Coturnix japonica: one gene and its partners. The protein of the gene in region 1 interacts with the protein of each later gene in a biochemical or structural test. Links are inferred from orthologs where the notes say so. Each region holds a gene or a part of one and is shown in the gene's direction. Other genes may lie near its edges.

Region 1 (4,429 bases):
TGGTATTTTTTTTTTTTTCGTTTCCTGTGTTTTCCACCTATTATAATATCAGCAAGTTTTGAACTTCACCCTTCTTGTATTTTTATAAGGCATGATCGTGAACTCCCTATCCAGACAAAGCTCCCATGGAAGTCAGTGAGTCTGCAGTGGCGGCAACAGGATTTAGCCCAGTCTGTAACATTTTAGGATATTGTGTTACTTCATAGCCTTAAGGAGAAATAAAGAAAGCTGTCCAAAGAACTGCTCAGCAAACTCTGTACTTCTCGGCTCTTCATCAGCACAGAAGAATATTGAGGCCAAGGTTTGGCAATGTCTATTTCAAACACAACACAGCTATGCAAAAGTTGCTGAATTTTCTCAGGGAAGAACAATTTGCGTTAAGACATTGGCCCCAAAGGTTAAACTGCCTTCACTTAAGAATATAGTCTTGGATACTCAAGTTTGAAAATGATTGCCTGGAGGAAGAAGCATTGAGAAATATCAGGAGGAAGACAATTTGGGTCAACCTGTTGGGCAAACCCCTTAGCTATTCTGTTACTGACACATTCACTCTTACCTACAACACGAGCCAATATTACTTAATATAAAAACACATTTGGAGATTACAAATGTTTTATTTATTTGCATCTCGCTTGGTCTAGTGAACAGGAGTCAAAATGGCACGATATAAAAAACCCTTACACGCCCTCTCGTGGTATAACCATAAATGCACTTATTTTAACAATATCTAGAATGGGCTAATGAGGAAGGCTATTTAATGTGTGATTTATGGGAAATGCATCTGGCTGAAAGGTTTCTATGAAGGGCAGAGACCTGTTACTCTTTGTTCTTGCTGTGATCCGTGACATGTATGCATTTTCAGAAGGCAGGTTACCGCCTAGCATAGTAACATTGCAAAATGTCTAAAGGCAACATAACATAAGTAGAGAATGTTTGCTTTTACAAAAATTTGGAAGCCTAGGATAATAGAGAATGATGTAAACCCCACAATGGATATCTGTCTGATGGGTTTATCTCTGTGGTTTGGGTGCAGACCTTAATTGGTTGCACAAGATAGAGTTGTCCTAAACTCTGCTATTTTTTCTACACCCTCCCCCCCCCCCCCCCTTTTTATTTTTTTAAGCCATTCAGCTTCATTATTCGTTGCTTTCATGCAGCACAGTGTGGTTTACCTCTCTGAGTGTTCTCAGGTTTCATGTTTGTAAAGAATGGCAGGCAGCTTGAAAGAAACACATTAAGCACAGAGTGTTACCGATCTGATCACTAGCCCAGTCAAAATCCCATTGTATTTGTGGAGCACAAAAACAGACCACTGCTATATCAGAGGAATGGCTATCAGGAACACGGGGCTGAGGTGTCAGCCCTTTTGGTGACAGTCATAAAAGGCCAGCAATAGCGTAACACAGAACTGCACCCTAACAGCTTCAACTCACACAGAAGAAACATCTCAATGATGGCTGTGTGGAGTCTTCTGAACCCTATCCCTAAGGAACACAATAAATATTAGTCAACAAAATAGATGTCCTTTGTCCAGTGGAAGCAAAAGGTTTGGAGAATGAAGTTCCAATCTCTTCCATTCCATCCTTCATGTGTTTTTGTATATACACAAAAGGGAGCCACAAGGGAGTTAGCTCCTGTTTAAAAAATGCCGTTACTGTATTTGCTGTTGGACAGGCCATGCCTAAAACAGACTGTAAGTAATTACAGCAATGTTTGTGAAGAAATAGGCAGGAGAACTTTGTGCTAAGCACTGCACAAAAACATAGCTCCCAAATCACTGTTTTCATACGTTGATGTGTTGTGGGGTTTTTTTCTACCGAAGTGATTGCTGAATGACCACTACATGTGAAGAAGCTCTCCTACCTCCCTTCAAGAGTTACTGTGATTCTGATGTTCCTTTATTTCCCTTTCTAGGATGCCTTCGTGGAATTGTACGGCAACAGTATGAGGCCTTTGTTCGATTTCTCCTGGATCTCTCTGAAGACCATCCTGAGCCTGGTTCTGGTGGGAGCTTGCATCACTCTTGGCGCTTATCTTGGACACAAGTAGAGTCACCCAGTTTATCGTGGATTACAAAAGTCTTTCAAAACAGCAAAATAATATTTTTTTTCTGTAGCACAATGGTATTTTATGAGCAAAACAACTTCCTGGCTAAAGATTAAATCAGCTATTACTGCCAAAGGAAATATCATTTATTTTTACATTGCAGGAAAATTATTTATTAAAATATATTTACATTTTAACCTGCTATTTTCAGAAACTCTGCAAGTTGTATCTGTCATCACATCATGTTGTTATTCTTAACTTTAAAGAGCCCCAAAGCATTTTAGGTTCTTTTTTTTTTAATTGATGCAGTTGTCTGGATCATTTTATCTGGAAAGAGCAAGTATACTGACAAAGACCTACCTGCTTACACTTAGGAAGGCAGTTACTTGAGCTGCTAACGGCTGTGTAATTGTATAGATCTCCTTGCAATTTTTGGGATGGCCGAGAGGGCTCTGAAAGAAAAGGTCAATGTGAACAAAGTTCTAATCCCGTCCTGCCTGCGAGCTCAACATGGTACACGCATGCAGTCAAAATGGTGACTTCTTGAAGGACACTTGGCTATCCCTACAGCTTGAAATGCAATTGCCTCTGCCTTGTAGACATGCGTTTTCAAGTTACCAGTCGTGCCATCGCATCATAGTCATGATAGCATCATCCTATACCCTACTATGTGTCAGCTCAAATGCTTTTCTTTATGGATGTGTGAAGTTTAATCTTTGGGGCTTGCAGGAAATTACTGTTCCAATGATTTTCTCAGCAGTAAAAAGTTTTCACGGCTACTGACACAGAAACATCAGGAGACCTTAAGTGCCTGCTTCTACAGAGCAGAGCTGGAGTCTGAAGACCTGACCTGCGTCCCACTTTAGGGCTCATATCTGCAACTAATCCTGTTTACTTACAGAGTTCCTCTGGGGGTTTGAAACCAATTAAATGTGGTCTCCAAATCCCTGAAAGTTGAAAAAGATTTTAATTCTATTTGGCAAGAAACAGACCTCAGCTGAGTTACAAATTAGCTCTGACTATCCTCGTTTCTCAAACCAGACACCAAAATCAAGTTCATTTTCATAACACAGAAAGAAAGTGAGCTTTATCCTCCTGCCCCTTGCCCTCAAAATTATTTCATGCTAATAATTTCCTAAGACTGTCTACTGAAGAAAAGATGAAGAAGAAACTCCTCTATCTGGACAGAGACTCTCTGACACCTCGATCTCACAGGTGCCTACTGTCATTTCAAGCGAAAACAGGGTGGAGGAAAAAGGGGAGGGTGAAGCCATCTGCCCCTGTTAGAAATGCAACGCAAGTACAGTTAATGCAGAATACTCAGTATACACTTTTATAAGCAGACCTGTGTCCTAAGACCAGGTGTGTTGATGTATGTCAAAGCAGGGCTTTCCATGTGCTCGGAGGGGGCCGGAATTGCTGACGAAGCAGAAGAATCCCAGTGTGTTGCATGGACTGCTCTGTTGAATGGACATCGCCATCTTCAATCAAACGCTCCTATTTTTTCTACGAAACTTTTGAAACCCGGGATTTGTGGGTAAATGGACATTCAGAGATAGAAAGAAAAGGTTTTAAAGCTCTGAATGTAATGTACCGTACAGCGCAGAAGTGCTAATAAGGGGTGAAAAAAGTAAAATAAAATACAGTGAATAAACTGTAGATTCAACCTCAGAATTTCAGATGGATAACTTTGTGGCATTATATGCAAAATATCTCCATTAACTTGGGAATGTAAGATGTTCAATGTTAAGGCTGTAGTTGATGTTGTGTCTTCAAAGCTGCTTTTTTTTGTTTGTTTGTTTGTTTTAAGAGTTGTACATCTCAGCATTTTTACTGCTATTTAGTCATGGCACCTACACTTTGTGTGAGCAAAGATGGAACGAGCTTACCTTTCCACTTTGAAATTACTTGTAATTTCATAGAAACATACAAAGGAGGTGTTTCAAAGATCACAGAAGTGGGACTAAAACTAGGATCGATTTTAAAGAAAAGAAAAAATGTCATAGAATCAGATGCACCTGCAGTGTTTTTGGAGCTTCTGTCAGAAGTGGGCATATGTGTGCAGGATTCATATGAGAAATATTTGAATTGGGAGCAACCAAGTATTGTGGATCGAGTGTGGGCTTTGTTTTTTTTTTTTCAGCTGCGAAGCTGAACGTGTCTGAAGCTGATTTCAAAACTGGAATTGGCTGCTATCGAGCTGATGTTTCATTTCACAAGCTAGTCTTTGTTTCAATTTATGCCCATACGCCCATTAAAGTTCATGAACTATTAGACCTCAAATTGTTTCAAAATTGTTTATTTTATTAAAGGTTTACATTGTCAAAAGTAGTAAAAGAGTAACTATCAATTCCAGTGCTGCTATACTACCAGGATAATTTGA
Region 2 (4,935 bases), on another chromosome or scaffold:
CTCTGCTCAGAGGTAGCAATGGTGGTTGTCGTGCTCTTCGGAACCGGGTCGAAGTCGTCGTCATCTTCTAGAATAGGAGATTCGTGTATGTCTGGAAAGGAAGAAGTAGATGTTAATAACTGCTGTAGATACAAACAGCAACATGATGCACTGCAAGGCCAGCCACACTCTGGCAGAAGGATTTTAATCAACAATTGTAATCAACAAAATCAGACCCCATTGCATTTGTGGCTTTGTGATTTCCTACACAATACATTGGATTGTTAACACAGCAGCTGCATGCTGGCAGTCCCAAACTCCCCATTGAAGGCACATTCTGAGGAGGGGGAACCTTGACGAAGGAAGAAGAACCTGAGGAAGCACTCACTGCTGAAAGCCTCCGGGTACTGCTTGGCCAGCTTCCCCTTCAGCGCCCTGCAGGAGGAGAGAGCCACGTTCACAGCTGGACACACACACAGACCCCTTCCATCCTTGGGGTCCCTCACACCATCCCCTCCCAGCTCTTCCTACCGGATCCGACGGAAGATGCTGTCGAGATCCTTCTTCATCTCCACCAACGTCTTGGTGTGGTGCAGGAAGCGCTCGTTCATCTGCTGCATTCGGATGCTCGACAGGTTGTTGAAGTTGAGCAGCATCTCGTTCGTCTTCTCAAAACGATCCAACCTGCGGGGGGGGGGCAGCAGTTCCCGGTGTTATATGAGCGCACCGGGGGCTGCCCCCGCTCACGGGACCCCCCCGGGACTCACATGTTCTTCTGAGCCTGGATGATCGCGTTCACATCCTCGGTGTTCACCATGCCCAGCACCCGCCCGCAGAACACCCGCGAGGCCGTGGGCTCCATCGCACCGCTGCCTCTAAGGGATCCCCGGCCCCCGCAGTGCCCGGTAACGGAACCCCCCCCCCCAAACCCGGACTCGGTATCTCCGTCCGTCCCTCGGCAGCACCGGGGCCGCTCCTTTTCCGTCTCCCTTCACATGACGGGAGAGGAACCGGCGGCCGCTCCTCGCTTCCGGGTGCGGGGTCACGTCGAGCGCGACCCCGTGGCGTCACCGCGCGTGTGCGTCACGGCGCCGGGCCGGAAGTGGTGGCGATTGGGTCTAGTGAAGGGACCGGGTCTGTCCCGGTACCGGAAAACGAACCCGGGGCTGTTCTGTGCGATGGACCGACCTCGCAGGGATTGAGAGGTCCGGGAAAGCTCCGTGGGCCTCCAGCACCCACAGTCGTTAGAGGCGGTGCACCGAGAGCTGCCGGGGTGACGGGCGGCGGGGACACCGGCCCGGTTGGGGTTCCGGACCCGCGGAGCAGGTTCGGTGCTGCGGCCCCTTTAAGACCGCGGCGCGCCGTTCTCGACGCGCCGATGAGGAACGTCGGCGTCACCCAATGGCCTGAGGGGGGCGGGAGGCAGCGGCCCAATGGGAGCGCGGGGGCGGGGCCAGCGGGCGCGGGTTGGCGGGTAGGTGGGAGCGGGGGGCGCGCGGCCGTTGCCAGGGGAGTCCCCGCGCGTGGCGGGAACGTGACGGGGGGACCCCCCGGCGGGCGCGCGCGCGGGAGAAAAGCACGTGGTGGAGGAGAGGGGCGCGGGGCGGGGCTTCCAGGGGCCGGAACCGGTGAGTGGGGCCTCCCCGGGCCGGCCCCGGCGGAAGGGCGCTGTGCGAGCCCGAGCCGCTCGGGTGGTGTTAGACGCCTCATCGCGGTGTCCGCAGTTTGCTGTTTGTATCTCCCGCAGGTCGCTACTCTCTCCCTGCTCTGCCGCCATGGCTTCCAGCGGAGAGGAGACGAGCAGCGGCTCCCCCGGCCGGGCGGGCAGCGGCACCGAACCGCCCAGCCCGGAATCGGCCGCAGCCTGCTCCGCTCAGCTGGACAGTATGGAGGATTTCGAGGTTCTGGAGGAGGACGAGGATGATCTGAGCGAGCTGCCGCCGCTGGAGGACGTGGGACGGGCACGGGGACCGCTGCAGGAGGACGCCCAGTCCGCAGAGCAAGGCCCAGGGGAAGCAGCTGAGGACCCCCAGGAGTGGCTCGATGTCTTGGGTGAGAGCAGGGCAGGAGGGCAGCAGGGCATTCCCAAGATGCTTTGGCGACCACGGAGGCTGAGGTTGGGTTGGGAGTGAGGTTCTCCCCTTCCCTACTATGGGCTGACCACCTCTGGCTTCTCTTGGCCCAGGGAGTGGTTTGCTTAAGAAGAAGACACTCGTGCCAGGTCAGGGGGTGGAGAGCCGCCCCCACAAAGGCCAGGAGGTGACTGTCCGTCTGAGGGCCACACTGGACGATGGCACTGTGGTGGAGGAGAACCCCAGCCTCACCTTTACCCTGGGAGACTGTGATGTATTGCAGGTGGGGCTTGGAGGAAGCTGCTCTGATGTGTGCAACTTCACCCTGGGGGGAGACATGGGGTTGGCAATGTCCTTGTTGGAGTCAGGGTTGGTTGCTTTGCTCATCTTCTCCTGCAACATTGCTCCCTGTAGGCTCTGGACCTCTGTGTACAGCTTATGGAGATGAGAGAAACTGCTTTGATTACATCAGATGCCAAGTATTGCTATGGTGCACAGGGCAGGTGAGCATGGAGAGTGTGGAATGGGATAGGGTGGGCCCAAACAGGGCTATGACAACTATCCCCATTCCCCACTACCACGGCCTGATCACAGCTTTGTGCCACTGCAGGAGCCCTGACATCCCACCCAACGCAGCCCTCACGCTGGAGGTCGAGCTGCTGGAGGCTCGGGATGCACCAGACCTGGAGCTGCTCAGTGGGAAGGAAAAGATAGACCTGGCCAACCGCAAGCGGGAGCGAGGTAACTTCTACTACCAGCAGGCAGATTATGTGTTGGCCATCAATTCCTATGACATCGCTCTCAAAGTCATCGGCTCCAGTTCCAAAGGTACCCCTTTCTGCTGTGAGCGAGGGCTGCCTGTGCTTCCTTCCTGTTGTAACTCACCTCTGGGGTCTTTGCAGTTGATTTCACCCCGGATGAGGAGGCTGAGCTGCTGGATGTGAAGGTGAAATGTCTCAACAATCTGGCAGCCTCTCAGCTTAAACTGGACCATTATGAGGCGGCCCTGAAGTCCTGTAACCTTGTTCTGGAGCACCAGCCAGGGAACATCAAGGCACTTTTCCGGAAGGGCAAGGTGAGCTGCTGCCATCCCTGCACTTCAGCAGGGCTGGGGAGGCGCAGGGACCAGACCTCAGTCACCTCCCTCAACCCCCACCTCATCTTCCAGGTCCTGGCCCAGCAGGGCGAGTACAGAGAGGCCATCCCCATCCTAAAGGCAGCTTTGAAGCTGGAGCCTTCAAACAAGGTAGGCTGGGTGTTCTCATGGCTCTGGCCTTGTGGCCGTGTTCCTACAAACCTCAGTGTACCCCATAGCTGTCACCAGTCTCCTTTGTGTGTGGCCAGGGCAGCTGTGGGGTGGTGTACCAAGTGCCAGCACCTGGTGCTGCAATACCTGAACGTGGCTGAGCTCGTGGGTTCCTTATCTCCATGTTGCAAGACTCTCTTTTTGCCCTTTGGCCCTTGTGGTAGCAGGGATCTCTGCCAGCCCATCTCTGCTTCAGCAGCTCTGCCTGCACGGTCTGGCTTCCCTGTGGCTTGTGCCATTGCTGTGAGAAGCGAGGCAGAGCAAGTTCTTGTCATCTCACTCAGCAGTCTGCAGTGTGATTCATTGGGTGGCCCCAGCAAACCCAAGCCTCAGTCCAGCACCCAGGCCGGAGCAATCTCTGGGTCAGGAATTTCCTGTTAGTTAATGATCAGCTGCAGGACTGAAGCCTCAGGGAAGTCAAAAGCCTCAGCAGTGCCAGGAAGTGGCTCCAGCAAAAGCAGGGCTGGGAGCAGCAGGGGAGGTGCTGCCTGCAGTGGGGGCATTGCTCCTTCATTGGCTTCTCGGTTTTATCCGCCTCTTTGTGGCCATTCCACCAAAACATCACAGTTCACCTCGTGTTCCCTGGTGCCTGAAGGTCACGGGCAGCATGAGGCCCTGCAGGTGCTCAATAGCCTTCAGAGCTCCCAGGCACCTTGTGGTGTGAGAGCCCTCATGAGGAAGGGTATATGGGATCTCAAAGTAGCACTTGGGCTGCTTGTAAGAGGTAGAGGAGCAGAACTGGGACTACAGGGATGGGGGATGCTCTCCCTGCTTGTCCTTTGTGTCATTGCTGCTGGCAGGGCTGCAGCTCATCAGCCCATCTGGGTGAAGCTTTTAATTGAAAAGGAGCAAAAATCAAACTGCCTGGCAGTGACGTTACCAATGAAACCACAAACAAATGATTGGCCTTTCCAGCTGCTTGCTGAGATTCGCAGGGATGTGGCAGTGCAGCTTTAAACACACAGTGGTGAGTCACAGCTAAGGCTACCGGTGGTGAGAACAGACTCAAGAAATGATCAGCTCCACCTGCTTTTGGATGAGAAAACCTGGTTGTCTGGTGCTGCCGGCACCTCGTCACTGGTGCAAACCTTCACGTCCCTTTCTAACCCCTTGGAGGTTCACCTTTATGGAGATGCTGTTTGTTCTACATCAAAGCACCAAACCCAGCAAGGTGCTGGGGTGTGTTTGCAGGTGCCATGGCTTGGCAGTGCCCTGGCTGCTCGCTGTGCTGGTGCTTTGGGGCAGTATCAGAGCTGCCTGCAGCACAGCATCCCCAGCAGAGGGCACAGCACAGCTGTGGCACCGCTGTGTTGCTGCCACTGCAGGCTGGGGATATCAGCCCTCCACCACAGAGCAGGTCCAATAGTGCAGGATGCAGAAGGACATCCAAGGTTTGCCATAGTCTGGCTTCAGACCAGGTTTGGTGTGAGCCTTCTTACCCAGCCTATTTCCAGATAGAAATGTGATAGAGCTCTGGCTGGTCTGTCCCCGAGGCAGAAACTTTTCTGCCTCGATTAAAGGAGAAAATCCTGATGCTGCCATCAGCTTCAGGCTCCTCTGCACACTGTCAGCAGCTGT
Region 3 (5,083 bases), on another chromosome or scaffold:
CCCTTCTATGTGAGCACCTGAATAACTGGATCCAAAATACTGCTGTGCCAAGTCCTCAGTTCTCTTCTAGTCAACGGCACAGCTTCAACTGCGAGCAAGGAACGATGAATCCCCTACCTCATGATGCTGAGTTGATAGCTAAGAGCTATGACTGCCTTTTCAAACAAGGAACCTTTCCATAGCAGAGTAACCCTAACACCAGGCTCCCATTAACCTATGGCAGGTTTGGGAGCCACCACAATTGCTTTAAAGACAGCAGCAATCACTATTGCAATCCGCATGGAGCACTGCCTAGTGCACATTACACGTGTTTTCTCTGCACATATCAGATAATACGTCACAGGACTTTGGTTGCAGTTTCATAAGCAAGTTAAGATTTTCCTGCTACTGAAGCTTTAATTTAAGAAATTTAAAAAAGAAAAAATCAGAAAGAATTCAGAACCTGAGTTTCACCAGGAATTCCTCTATCTCTATGAAAACAAAAGCTAAATACGGTCTTTAACTTGGCTAGTTAAATAAGAGAGGATTATTGCCTTATGTTCTTTCCAGTTGCTTGTTCAGGATTATTTGGGAGGCAATGAAGCAGTGCCACAGAGCAGATTCTTGCCATTTTTCAACAGATAACACCTCTCCTTTTACAGCTTTAAAATACAAAACCAGAGGCATCTGAGGATGCAAAATAGAGCCCCTGAAGAAAGGCATGCCAAAAAAATGCACATCTTATAGAGAGAGCATGACATGGAGGAACCGAGACCGACTGGTTACAGCAAACATTCCTTCCCCTTTGCTCACTATTTTGTTTCTTTGCCTCAATAGCAAGCAAAGAATTTAACCCTTTCCACTCACTGCAAGGCAAACCCGGCTGGAGACAAGTGACTCCTATTAAGCAGGAAGCCTTTGGTAAGTGGCTAATTCCAAAAGGGCACATTGGGCCAAATTCTGACCCACTTTATTGATTTTGTTGTTCTTTTAACTGATATTTCACACGCTTGATAAGTTACTGTAAGGAAATGCCACACCGGCAGCCCCGTCATTTAGGATGAAGACCACTGCAATACACGTTACACACACCGCACAGCGTCACAGTGTCACAGTGCGGTGCGGGTTGGCAGGGACCTTAGAGATCACCGAGTCCAACCCCGGGATTGGAGCCTCTGTGCTGCAGAGCGGCACTGCTACCACTTGCGCCACAGGGGGATTCGAACCCAAGGCCTCCAGCGTTGCAAAGTAGCGTCCTTCAGCACTGCGCCCTCAGTGTCACACCCCGCTCCCCCACACACCCATGAAGCCGTACCCCACACACTGTACAGCGCTACCCCCTATTTCCCCACCGCTCTCCCTCAGACCCGCCCACAGCCGCGCCCTGCACGGGCGGGAAAAGCTCATGACCCGCAGCTCCTCCCGCGCATGCGCACGAAGCCCCTCACAGCGCGCAAGCCCCGCTCCCCCCAGCCAGCATGCGCCGCGCATGCGCAGCATAGAGCTCCGTCTCTCCGGTCGGGCAGGTCCCGCCCATGTCGCGCATGCGCGGTCCGTCCAGCCTACTGCGCACGCGCCGTCCCCTCCCATGGCGGCGCCGTCCCCTCCCCGCAGTGTAGTGGGGCCGTGACGTCAGCAGCGGCGGCCATTACACGGGCAGAGCGAGGGTCGGAGCGCTCTGTTCGCTGCCGTGCGTTGGGCGCCGCTCCGCCCGCAGCTCCACGACCCGCTGCTGAGCCGCGACCACCGGGATCGCGTCGTTGGGGCCTTTGGGGGGAGCGGCGGCAGCTGGTGGTGAGGGGGAGGAGGAGGCGGAGGAGGAGGGGGCGAGCGAGCGGCTGCGTGCGGGATGGAGGAGAAGGTGTTCACCAAGGAGCTGGACCAGTGGGTGGAGCAGCTCAACGAGTGCAAGCAGCTGTCCGAGGGGCAGGTGAAGAGCCTGTGCGAGAAGGTGAGGCGCGGCGTGGGGAGCGGAGCGGCGGCACGGGGCGGGGCGGCACCTCCGGGGTTGGGCACACGGGGCTGTGAGCAGGACGGATCGGAGCGGTGCCGGGCAGTGGGTCGGCTCCACACATCGGCTCGGTGGGTCGCTCTGTTGGGCTCCGCTGGGCGCTGCTCGCTCTGCCCGGCGCTGGATGAGCCGCGGCCCCTCGGCGGGCATTGCCGCGGCCTGGCCCCGCCTCCCGCCTTTTCATCGCCTCCTAAAATGGCGCCGCTGCCGGGAGCCGCCGCCACAGAGCACGAGAGCCGCCGCCGGGCCCGGCCCTGCCGCTCCGCCATCCGTGCGGTGCTGTGCGGTGACACGGGGAGGCCGTGTAGGGCAGGGAGCGTAGGGCGCGGTGCGGGGCTCCGAGCTGCTGTGAGCACGGCGGATTATTCAGTTATTCATTTACCATACAAATATAGGATCGCGGTTATTTCTAATTGAAGCGGAATTTTAGATCGACCTGGGGAGTCGGGTTTGTTTTTTGTTTTTTTTTTTTCCAGAATAAAATGGCGCTTAGTGACATAAAGCTCGTGTCGCTGTTTATTGCTACGGTGACTGATGGGGATCCGCGCAGCACAATGATGTGCTGTGTGTGTAGTGTAGGAGCGGCTTCACATCGGCAACTGTGCTCTAGGAATTAAAGGAATAATAGCTGCAGTGGTACCCGGTTGTATTGTCCGGTTACAGTCTGTTTCTGAGCGGAATTAAATCCTCAGCCATCATGAGCCATTATTTTCCCTTCAATTACTGGAGGTTTTATTTGTGTGCACCTTTAGATTGAAGGAATTGCCTTTTTTGGGGGAGGGATCTAGAAATCAATGCGTATGGAGGTTATTGATGCCCTCGGTCCTAAAGAAGGCTGCGTGCCTATCACAGGAGGAAACAGGGGTATTTTAAGGTTGGCACCATGCCTTCAAATAGTACAGCGTGTTGGTTTAGAAGCAGATTGTTTCCAGAGGGTTGTATGTGGACTTAGAATTAACTTGCAGTGCTTTTGGCCATACAGGTTCTTGTTGTGTCCCACATTTCAGTCGCCTCATATTCCAGCAACTCAAAATCAAAGCCGTTAGATATAGTTTGTGTGTTTAACGTGGTGTTCCAAGCAAGTAGCAGGTTAGGGATTGTTTCCCTTGTGTGTCTTTAGTGCCAGCACTCTGACTTTTTCCTCGTGTCCCATTTGCCATCACTGATGTGCTGATGGAAGGGCTGAATCCTGGCTGGGTATTTCTAATGTGGTTGTATGGCAATCTGTAAAAACCCGAGGAATAAATGAAATTCTTTGCATTTAGTGGATGCTGTGGATAGGTGAGCAGTAGACATGCCAATAGAAACCGCACAAAAGGCACCATAGTCCTGTTCATAATCTGTGCGAGGATGGAGGTGTCTTCATTTTTTCCTAATGAAGAATTGAATTAGTCTATTTCTGGCTGAGCGTGTAATGTTCATCACCAGAATAGATTCATGACACTAGGAAAGAAAAAGCTGTTCTAACCTGAAACGATTCTGATAGGTTCAAGGCAAGGAATCACGAGGCAGGTGGGCTCTGTAGGAGCAGCAGACTCTGTTGGAGAGGCTGGAGGAATGATAGGTGATGAGCTGCAGGAATTGTTTGGATGAAGGAGTTGAATTAGGTTACAGAAAGCTGCCTGTTCGACTGCTGCATTGAGATGAAAGGCTGCAAGGACAGGAGAGAGGCTGATGTGAGAATACCACTGAGCAGCAGGGATGGTTTGCCACAAGTTGGAGCCAGCTCCAGACCAAAGGTGGAATGTCTTTGGGCAGCATGACACTGTGCTTGAGATAAAGCTCCCTCTCTATTACTCGGTTGAGGTCAACACTTTGTGAGGTACATCCAGGCTGTTTGTATTAAGGGTGATAACTACTGGTGGATTTACCAGCCCCTGTTAGTGGTAGGTGAGATGCTGTGTCAAGCTTTCCATTGTCCTGTCCCCCCCATGGGTTGCTGTGTTCCCAAAGCAGGGCATTAGTTGAATTCTGTGCCTGTCTGCAGAGGTTCCTCATTTATCCTGTTCCCAGGCTTCCAGCACCAGCTCTCTGCAGTACTGAATTATGATTCGTGTTTTGATTATTGTCTGCAATCACACCCAAAGGTTATGATTTTCCATAGAGAGCTTAGATGTTAAGGGTGGTGTCAAACATAGTCACTGTTTCAAATGATGGGTGCAGACCCTATCTGACAGAAGCTGTCATTCCTCACTGCTCTGAGCTGTAGCTACGATAGAAAAAAGTAATCCCTCTTGTGAAGGCTTTTCCCCATAACATGCTGTTTATTAGGTGATCTTCTGACTGGTATTTCTGGATCTTCTGAGGCTTCGTGTGTGTCTAGTAAGACGAAGCCTGAGGGCTCTGTTGTGTTTCAGTATTGATAGCAGAAGAACACAACAGCTATTTGCAGACACAGTGCAGTGCAGCACAGTAACTCAGTGTGGCCATTCATGCATCGCAGTTACTCTCAGTGCATCCTGTGTTGTGCCTTATTACCTTGGTGATGGTACCTGGTAGAAATGTCTTCTAGAGCCAGGAATAATTTGTAGCCACAAATAATAGCGACTTTCACAGACCTGAAAAAAGTCTGAGTGACAATTAGAAGAATTTAATGTGAATATTTTCTATTAATTTTGCTACACCAGTGACAGGTTTTATGTGCTTTAAGTATTTCTTAACTGTTAGCTTTGAAGAGTTGTTATAAATATGTGCCTTACTCAAGTATATGGCATTTATAATATTGGCCACATTTGTCCTGCTGAGGCTGAACTGTTCGCTGTCTGCTGTCTGTGTACAGGAGAAAGGAAGTCCTTTATGGCCAGGTGAGGTTATTTTCCACTGCCCACTTAGAACAAGGCTGCTGTTCTTTCCCATCCTTTGTGGGAAATGGTCTCGATGGGGCTGTTGTGATGTGCAGCTCAGGAAAGGTGGGCTGGCGATCCGGAATGGAACACAGGGATGAGCAGAGCTGGTGGATGCAATCCCCATTGGTTATTACAGATTGTATCTCCCTCTGTGTGGAGATGTCTGGGAATGTCTTACTGGGAAGAGCTGGGCCGAGTGGGTTTGAACACAGCACCCAGTTTCCTGAGGTTTTACTGCTGACTGCAT
Region 4 (5,161 bases), on another chromosome or scaffold:
GTGGAAATGCAGGGGAGCCCCTGGCTCTGCAACACGAAAAGAGAGGATGAAGGCAATGCCCAGGGCAGTGGTGGTGTCCCATTCTTGGAAACACATGGATGTGGCATTAAGGCACATGGCCTAGAGATGGGACTCAGTAGGTCAGGCTGATGGTTGCACTTGCTGATTTTGAAGGTCTTTCTCAACCTACACAATTCCATGATTTTACTTCTAACAGCCGGAGCCAGCCCAGCAGGACAGCAACCAGGAACCAACAGGAAGATCTATTTCAACCACGGAAAGACCCGACGGCCTGCAGAGCCCGGCACACCAGCCATGCACCGGCATGGCCGCACCCACCATGTTCCGGGTGACCTTTGTCTCACACCCCCGGCAGCACAGCTCTGCTTCCTGCTCCAGCACTCATTGCAGGAGCCACCGAGCTGCAGTCTGCAGAAAGAGGAAGGGAAAGAGCAGCACACAGCCCATCAGTGAGCTCAGAGCCGCCAGCACCGGGCAGCAGGACTCAATAGCGAGAGATTCTCATAACCAAACAGCAGCAATGATTTATTTAATTTTATAGAGATGTGGTGCTTGAAGCTGATTCAGCAGAAGCATCAGAATTCAGAGAAAAAACAAAAACAAAAAAACGTTCGCTTTCCTTTCAGTTCTGCTCTTGTTTTTGTTTCTGTAACATTCGTTTTCCTTTCATCACATCTGCCCGCTGGCATTAGTCACGCTGCAGGTTGGTCACGCGCTGCTCTTGATCTCCAGCGCTGCTCAGACCGCAGTGCCTGACACCAGCATGGCTCCGTGTACAGCATCTCGGGATTCTCCCTTCCCAGCCACATAATCCCTCAATCTTCAGATGCTGATAAACAGAAAAATGGCTCTGAGGTCCAGGGCTGCTTAACTCTGTTCCTACCCATTTTCCCCCAGGCTATGCCCATGGCCCCACAGCTTTCAAGACCACTCTAAGGAGCAGCCTCCTGGGGTGCTGCTCTTCCCACAGCCATGCTGCTTTGTTTAGAGGAACTGAAACCAACAGTGTCAGAGCTCACTGGCAGCCTGTAACCACAGCAGGTTATTTTTCACCCTGCCACATTGAGCAAGGCAAAGAGTGGCCCCACAGCCACAGCCTCATTGCCCACCAGCATCCAGCAAGCTCCTCCTGTGGCAGTGGGCTCTCTGCCCTGCACATAGGAGGGCTGCAGCAGCAGGGCATGCAGAGGTGAGCACTGCAGGTGCCCTGGCCCGTAAACCCAATTTGCACACTGAAGACTCCCATTCTTCTTTTTGCCCTACAACTGTTCTCAAGTAACAAAAAGAAATAAATGAACCTTGCCAATCAGCTAGTCCACTGATCTGTGCACTGCTGCCCTGGCAGGTGGAAGTATCTCCAAAAGAAGAGAGACCGTCTCTTGGTGCTGCTGCAGGGGCAGTAGGATGAGCTACCTTTAAAGGCTGTTCCCCGTTTTGGCAAGGGAGTCTTTCTAAGCTGGGCAGATGCTCAGAGGATGGAGCAGCTGTTCTATGAAGAAAGGCTGAGAGAGCTGATCTTGACAGCCTGGAGAAGAGTAGACTGCAGGGACATCTCGCTGCGACCTGACAGTACTTGAAGGGAGATTATAAGCAGAAGACTTTTTATGCAGTCTGACAGTTGATAGGACAAGGTCCTCCTTAAAACTAAAAGAGGGGAGATTTTAGATTTAGAGTAGATATTAGGGAGAAATTCTTGACTCAGGTCAGTGAGGTCCTGGCACAGACTTTCCAGAGCAGCTGTGGTGCCCCATCCCTGGAGGTGCTCAGAGCTGGGTTGGATGAGGCCCTGAGCAGCCTGAACTAGTGGGGACAGCCAGCCCATGGCAGGGGCTGGGTTGAGGCTGGGGCAGATTTGAGGTCCCATTCTGTTCAATTAATTCAGTGATCCTATGATATATCAAGATTGAGGGGCACTGGTTTTTATGCCTGAGTAGTAGATCTCTCTCAAATTGTTTCTGGCTCCACTTAAATGAGCTAAATAAATGCTTGCAGCAATTCTCCTTTCTCATGCTTTGCTCCTCCGTTCCTTCTCCTCAGTTTTTGTTCTGTGGGGAGGACAACAAGAGGGCTGATGTGTCCCTGTTCCCTGCTGAAGCTGCTGAGCACTGCTGTTCATGGGGTTGTGGGCAGTGCACACTTGTGGGCAGCCAAGGGACACCCGCCACATGGACAATGCACCCCAGGGCTATTTGCTGCCTCCCTGCCACCTAAACCCAACAGACCTGTTTGGAGAGAGAGTTTCTCCCATAACAGGAATCAAAGGCCAAAGGGCACCTTTCTCAGTATGGGCCTGCATTACAAACACATGTGCTGGTATGGATGTGAAATGACCCTAAAAACATCACATCTAGCCAATAAGCCTGTATACCATGTAGGTATTATATCATAAGCTGAGAGACGAGGACAGATAAAAGAAAGTGCCAGAGGGCCCTGACACAGTGCCTGCCCGGTGCACCTCACTGTGCTGCAGCCTCAGCTGTGCAATATCCACACCCGGCTGTGGATTCCAGCAAGGCACCCTGAGACACGCAGGGAAAAGGAGCTCTGAACTGAGCTGGTGAAGTTTCCTCTTCCAACAGACAGCAATCAGCTTTGTAGACACTTGTCCCAGAGGCTCTGATCCCACAGGAAAGCACTTCCTGACCTCCCAATTGCAGTGTCTTTTCCTGCTTGTAGCTGCGTTGCAATGGGAAAGGTGGGTATACATTGCACCCAGCCTCAGATCAGCTCTTTGTTACGTCTGACCCTTCTTGCTCTCTTTCTGTCCACCTGTTTTCGTTTTCAGGTAAACACAAACAGCCATCACACCAAACTTTCCTGCAGACAGATGACTCACTGGCGGAGCTCTGGCAGCTCTCCCAAAACTATGCTACGATCACAAAAGTCACGAGGGCCATGCGGCAATTTCAGCTTTGCTTCCGTGTAGCACAACCTGGACTTGCAGGTGAGCTGCCAGAGCTGCCTGGGCACTGCGTGCGGGTCCAGCAGCAGGGTAGAACCCTGAGCTGCAGGTGTAGGTCAGCATCCTTCTACCTCCCATACACTGCGCATCCTTACACTGTTTTAACACAAGTACACCCCCCCATCCCGCACACCCATCCCCTCCCCCTCATCACGCCCCGCACCCCGCTTTATTTCTGCGTTCCTCCACCGGTCCGGGCTCGCTCCGACACGCTCCCGCCACGGTGGGGGAGGGATTCCCGCACTGTTCCTGACGTCACTACGAGGGAAAACCCCGCCGCGCTCCGCTTTTAGGGCGCGCATCGCCCCGCCTGCCCGCAGTGTCCCGCCGCCGCCGAGCCGTGTGGATCCGGACTGCGCCGAGCCGAACCGAGCCGAGCTGTTGCCGCGATGATGCCCGGCAGGACGATACGCAAACCTGCTCCACCCGCCGAGCCTGCAGGTAGGGCGAGGAGAAAGGAGACAGGTCTCAGGTGTTTTTATTGCGGGGGAGAGTTTGATGCTGGAAAAAAACACGCTTTTCCTTTTTCCTCTTCCTTTTTCTACTTGATATTCTTCTTGCTTTCCCCTGTGCCGCTACCTGGAATAGACCTCGCTCGAATTAAATCCCCACCTCCCTGCGCGTGCCTTGCAGAGAGGGACGCGGTGGCTGAGTGCGCCGTGGAGCTGCGCAGGATCGGCGACAAGGCGGACCTCAGGCAGAAGATCCTGAACCTCATCACTAAACTCTTCTGCCCCAAGACGTGATCCGCCGCCCCCGCAGCGCTGAGAAAGAAAGGGGGAAGATTTCGACTTTGCAGATCTGGAACGAGAGATTTCACTTACACTGGGAGATGGAGGGGAAAAAAAAAAAAAGCTCTTTGATTTGTGTTTTGCTACCTGCAGACGCCGAGGGATGGCTGTCACCATGTGATTTCTTTGGGAAGTGTTACAACGTTATTGCTTTATGGATGCTAAGTTGGGGGAAAAAATGGAGGCAATGAGCACCGGCCCCTCGCTACGTAGTGAGGGGCAGGTTGGAACTTGTTCTTCTTGGGGCTGGGGAACCCTGTGACAACCCCACCTCCCCTGTTGCCTTCGCATCCCACATCCCAGCCAGGAACTGCGGACAGAAAGGTTCCGAAGCAAAGAAAGAAGTTGTGGAACGTGGGCATGAGTCAACAAGGTGAAAGCCGGCGTTCAGGTTCTGACTGCCCTTATCTTCTACAGCTCGGATTCTGCTGGATGGGGAAGTGGTGGTGTTGGGGATATCTCATTTGTTCATTAAAACCACTGCTTTAATATAAAGGTTATTTGTTGTAGCAAGTGGCTTTGGGGATAAAAAAAAAATGCAATTCTGTGAATTAATGTGATATTGCATAGTTATAGTCTATATATTATATATATGTATATATTTGCATAGATATATATTACATATATATAAAATATGCGTACCCCTTTGTATGAGAGGAGTGTTTCACAGACCTGTTAAGTGAATGCTACTTCTTTAGGCTCAAAGAGTAGCATGAAAAAATGCTCAAAACATGATGGAAATAGTTCATATTAAGCAGAAGAGAAAGCACTCTCTTTTCTGATGGTACAGGAAACACTTCTTGAATTACAGAGGGGAACATAATTTAGTATACCATTAGATAATTAATACAAATGTATAGTACAGAAATACTGAGGTATGATGTATGTTGTGTGGAAGGTTTCTTCCAACACTGAAAAGAAGTTTTTGATGACAATACAGCTCCTCTGTGTGTTTTTCTGAGTAGCAAAATAACTTATCAAGAGACCATAACGTCGAATCTGAGTCAAAGATCAAATTTTCTTTGGATCGCCATTTTTTCAAGGAAGGCAGCCGCCTCCCTGTGAAGAAATCATAAGACAGATTGTTACAGTCAGTACAGGAAAGCAGCCGCAATCTTTATTCATTCTGTACGGGAAAATCCTTCCCTTGTACTTAGTTTCTCTTTCGTTTCATGGCATCCTCATTTTGTTTCCGGACAGAGGAAGCTGCTGCAGCACCCAGAGTAGGGCAATGTGCTGCTGTAATGTAGAATTCCCCTTGTTGGCTCCAGAGGAGCTGCACTAAGCTCACAGCCCAGGCAGGTGTCACCTCTGCACACCACATCTTGCTCCTGAACAGTGTTCTTTCAAGGGTGCAGCAATAAAAAGGCCACGGCTGGTGACATTT

Evidence for each region.
Region 2: the proteins of BCL2 (region 1) and FKBP8 form a complex in vitro, tested with the Homo sapiens proteins (4 studies listed by BioGRID, with this or other methods). The link is inferred for Coturnix japonica from reciprocal best matches to the Homo sapiens genes BCL2 and FKBP8.
Region 3: of the proteins of BCL2 (region 1) and PPP2CA, one has a biochemical effect on the other in vitro, tested with the Homo sapiens proteins (2 studies listed by BioGRID, with this or other methods). The link is inferred for Coturnix japonica from reciprocal best matches to the Homo sapiens genes BCL2 and PPP2CA.
Region 4: the proteins of BCL2 (region 1) and PMAIP1 interact in a biophysical measurement, tested with the Homo sapiens proteins (2 studies listed by BioGRID and IntAct, with this or other methods). The link is inferred for Coturnix japonica from reciprocal best matches to the Homo sapiens genes BCL2 and PMAIP1.

The regions. Positions count from the first base shown.
Region 1 is NC_029517.1:62,996,135-63,000,563, reverse strand, and holds part of BCL2 (apoptosis regulator Bcl-2), read left to right. Parts: intron 1-1,914; coding exon 1,915-2,049; 3' UTR 2,050-4,429. UniProt on the Homo sapiens protein: Suppresses apoptosis in a variety of cell systems including factor-dependent lymphohematopoietic and neural cells. Regulates cell death by controlling the mitochondrial membrane permeability. Appears to function in a feedback loop system with caspases.
Region 2 is NC_029543.1:2,932,652-2,937,586, forward strand, and holds the start of FKBP8 (peptidyl-prolyl cis-trans isomerase FKBP8), read left to right. Parts: upstream 1-1,406; 5' UTR 1,407-1,412; coding exon 1,413-1,453; intron 1,454-1,491; exon of another isoform or gene 1,492-1,607; intron 1,608-1,726; coding exon 1,727-2,031; intron 2,032-2,164; coding exon 2,165-2,334; intron 2,335-2,465; coding exon 2,466-2,554; intron 2,555-2,661; coding exon 2,662-2,879; intron 2,880-2,953; coding exon 2,954-3,126; intron 3,127-3,219; coding exon 3,220-3,297; intron 3,298-4,935. Other genes in the region: KXD1 (kxDL motif-containing protein 1), read right to left, coding at 1-91, 368-414, 511-663, 747-841. UniProt on the Homo sapiens protein: Constitutively inactive PPiase, which becomes active when bound to calmodulin and calcium. Seems to act as a chaperone for BCL2, targets it to the mitochondria and modulates its phosphorylation state.
Region 3 is NC_029528.1:2,280,565-2,285,647, reverse strand, and holds the start of PPP2CA (serine/threonine-protein phosphatase 2A catalytic subunit alpha isoform), read left to right. Parts: upstream 1-1,610; 5' UTR 1,611-1,828; coding exon 1,829-1,930; intron 1,931-5,083. UniProt on the Homo sapiens protein: Catalytic subunit of protein phosphatase 2A (PP2A), a serine/threonine phosphatase involved in the regulation of a wide variety of enzymes, signal transduction pathways, and cellular events.
Region 4 is NC_029547.1:8,678,837-8,683,997, forward strand, and holds the start of PMAIP1 (phorbol-12-myristate-13-acetate-induced protein 1), read left to right. Parts: upstream 1-2,106; 5' UTR 2,107-3,372; coding exon 3,373-3,424; intron 3,425-3,571; coding exon 3,572-3,729; 3' UTR 3,730-5,161. UniProt on the Homo sapiens protein: Promotes activation of caspases and apoptosis. Promotes mitochondrial membrane changes and efflux of apoptogenic proteins from the mitochondria. Contributes to p53/TP53-dependent apoptosis after radiation exposure. Promotes proteasomal degradation of MCL1.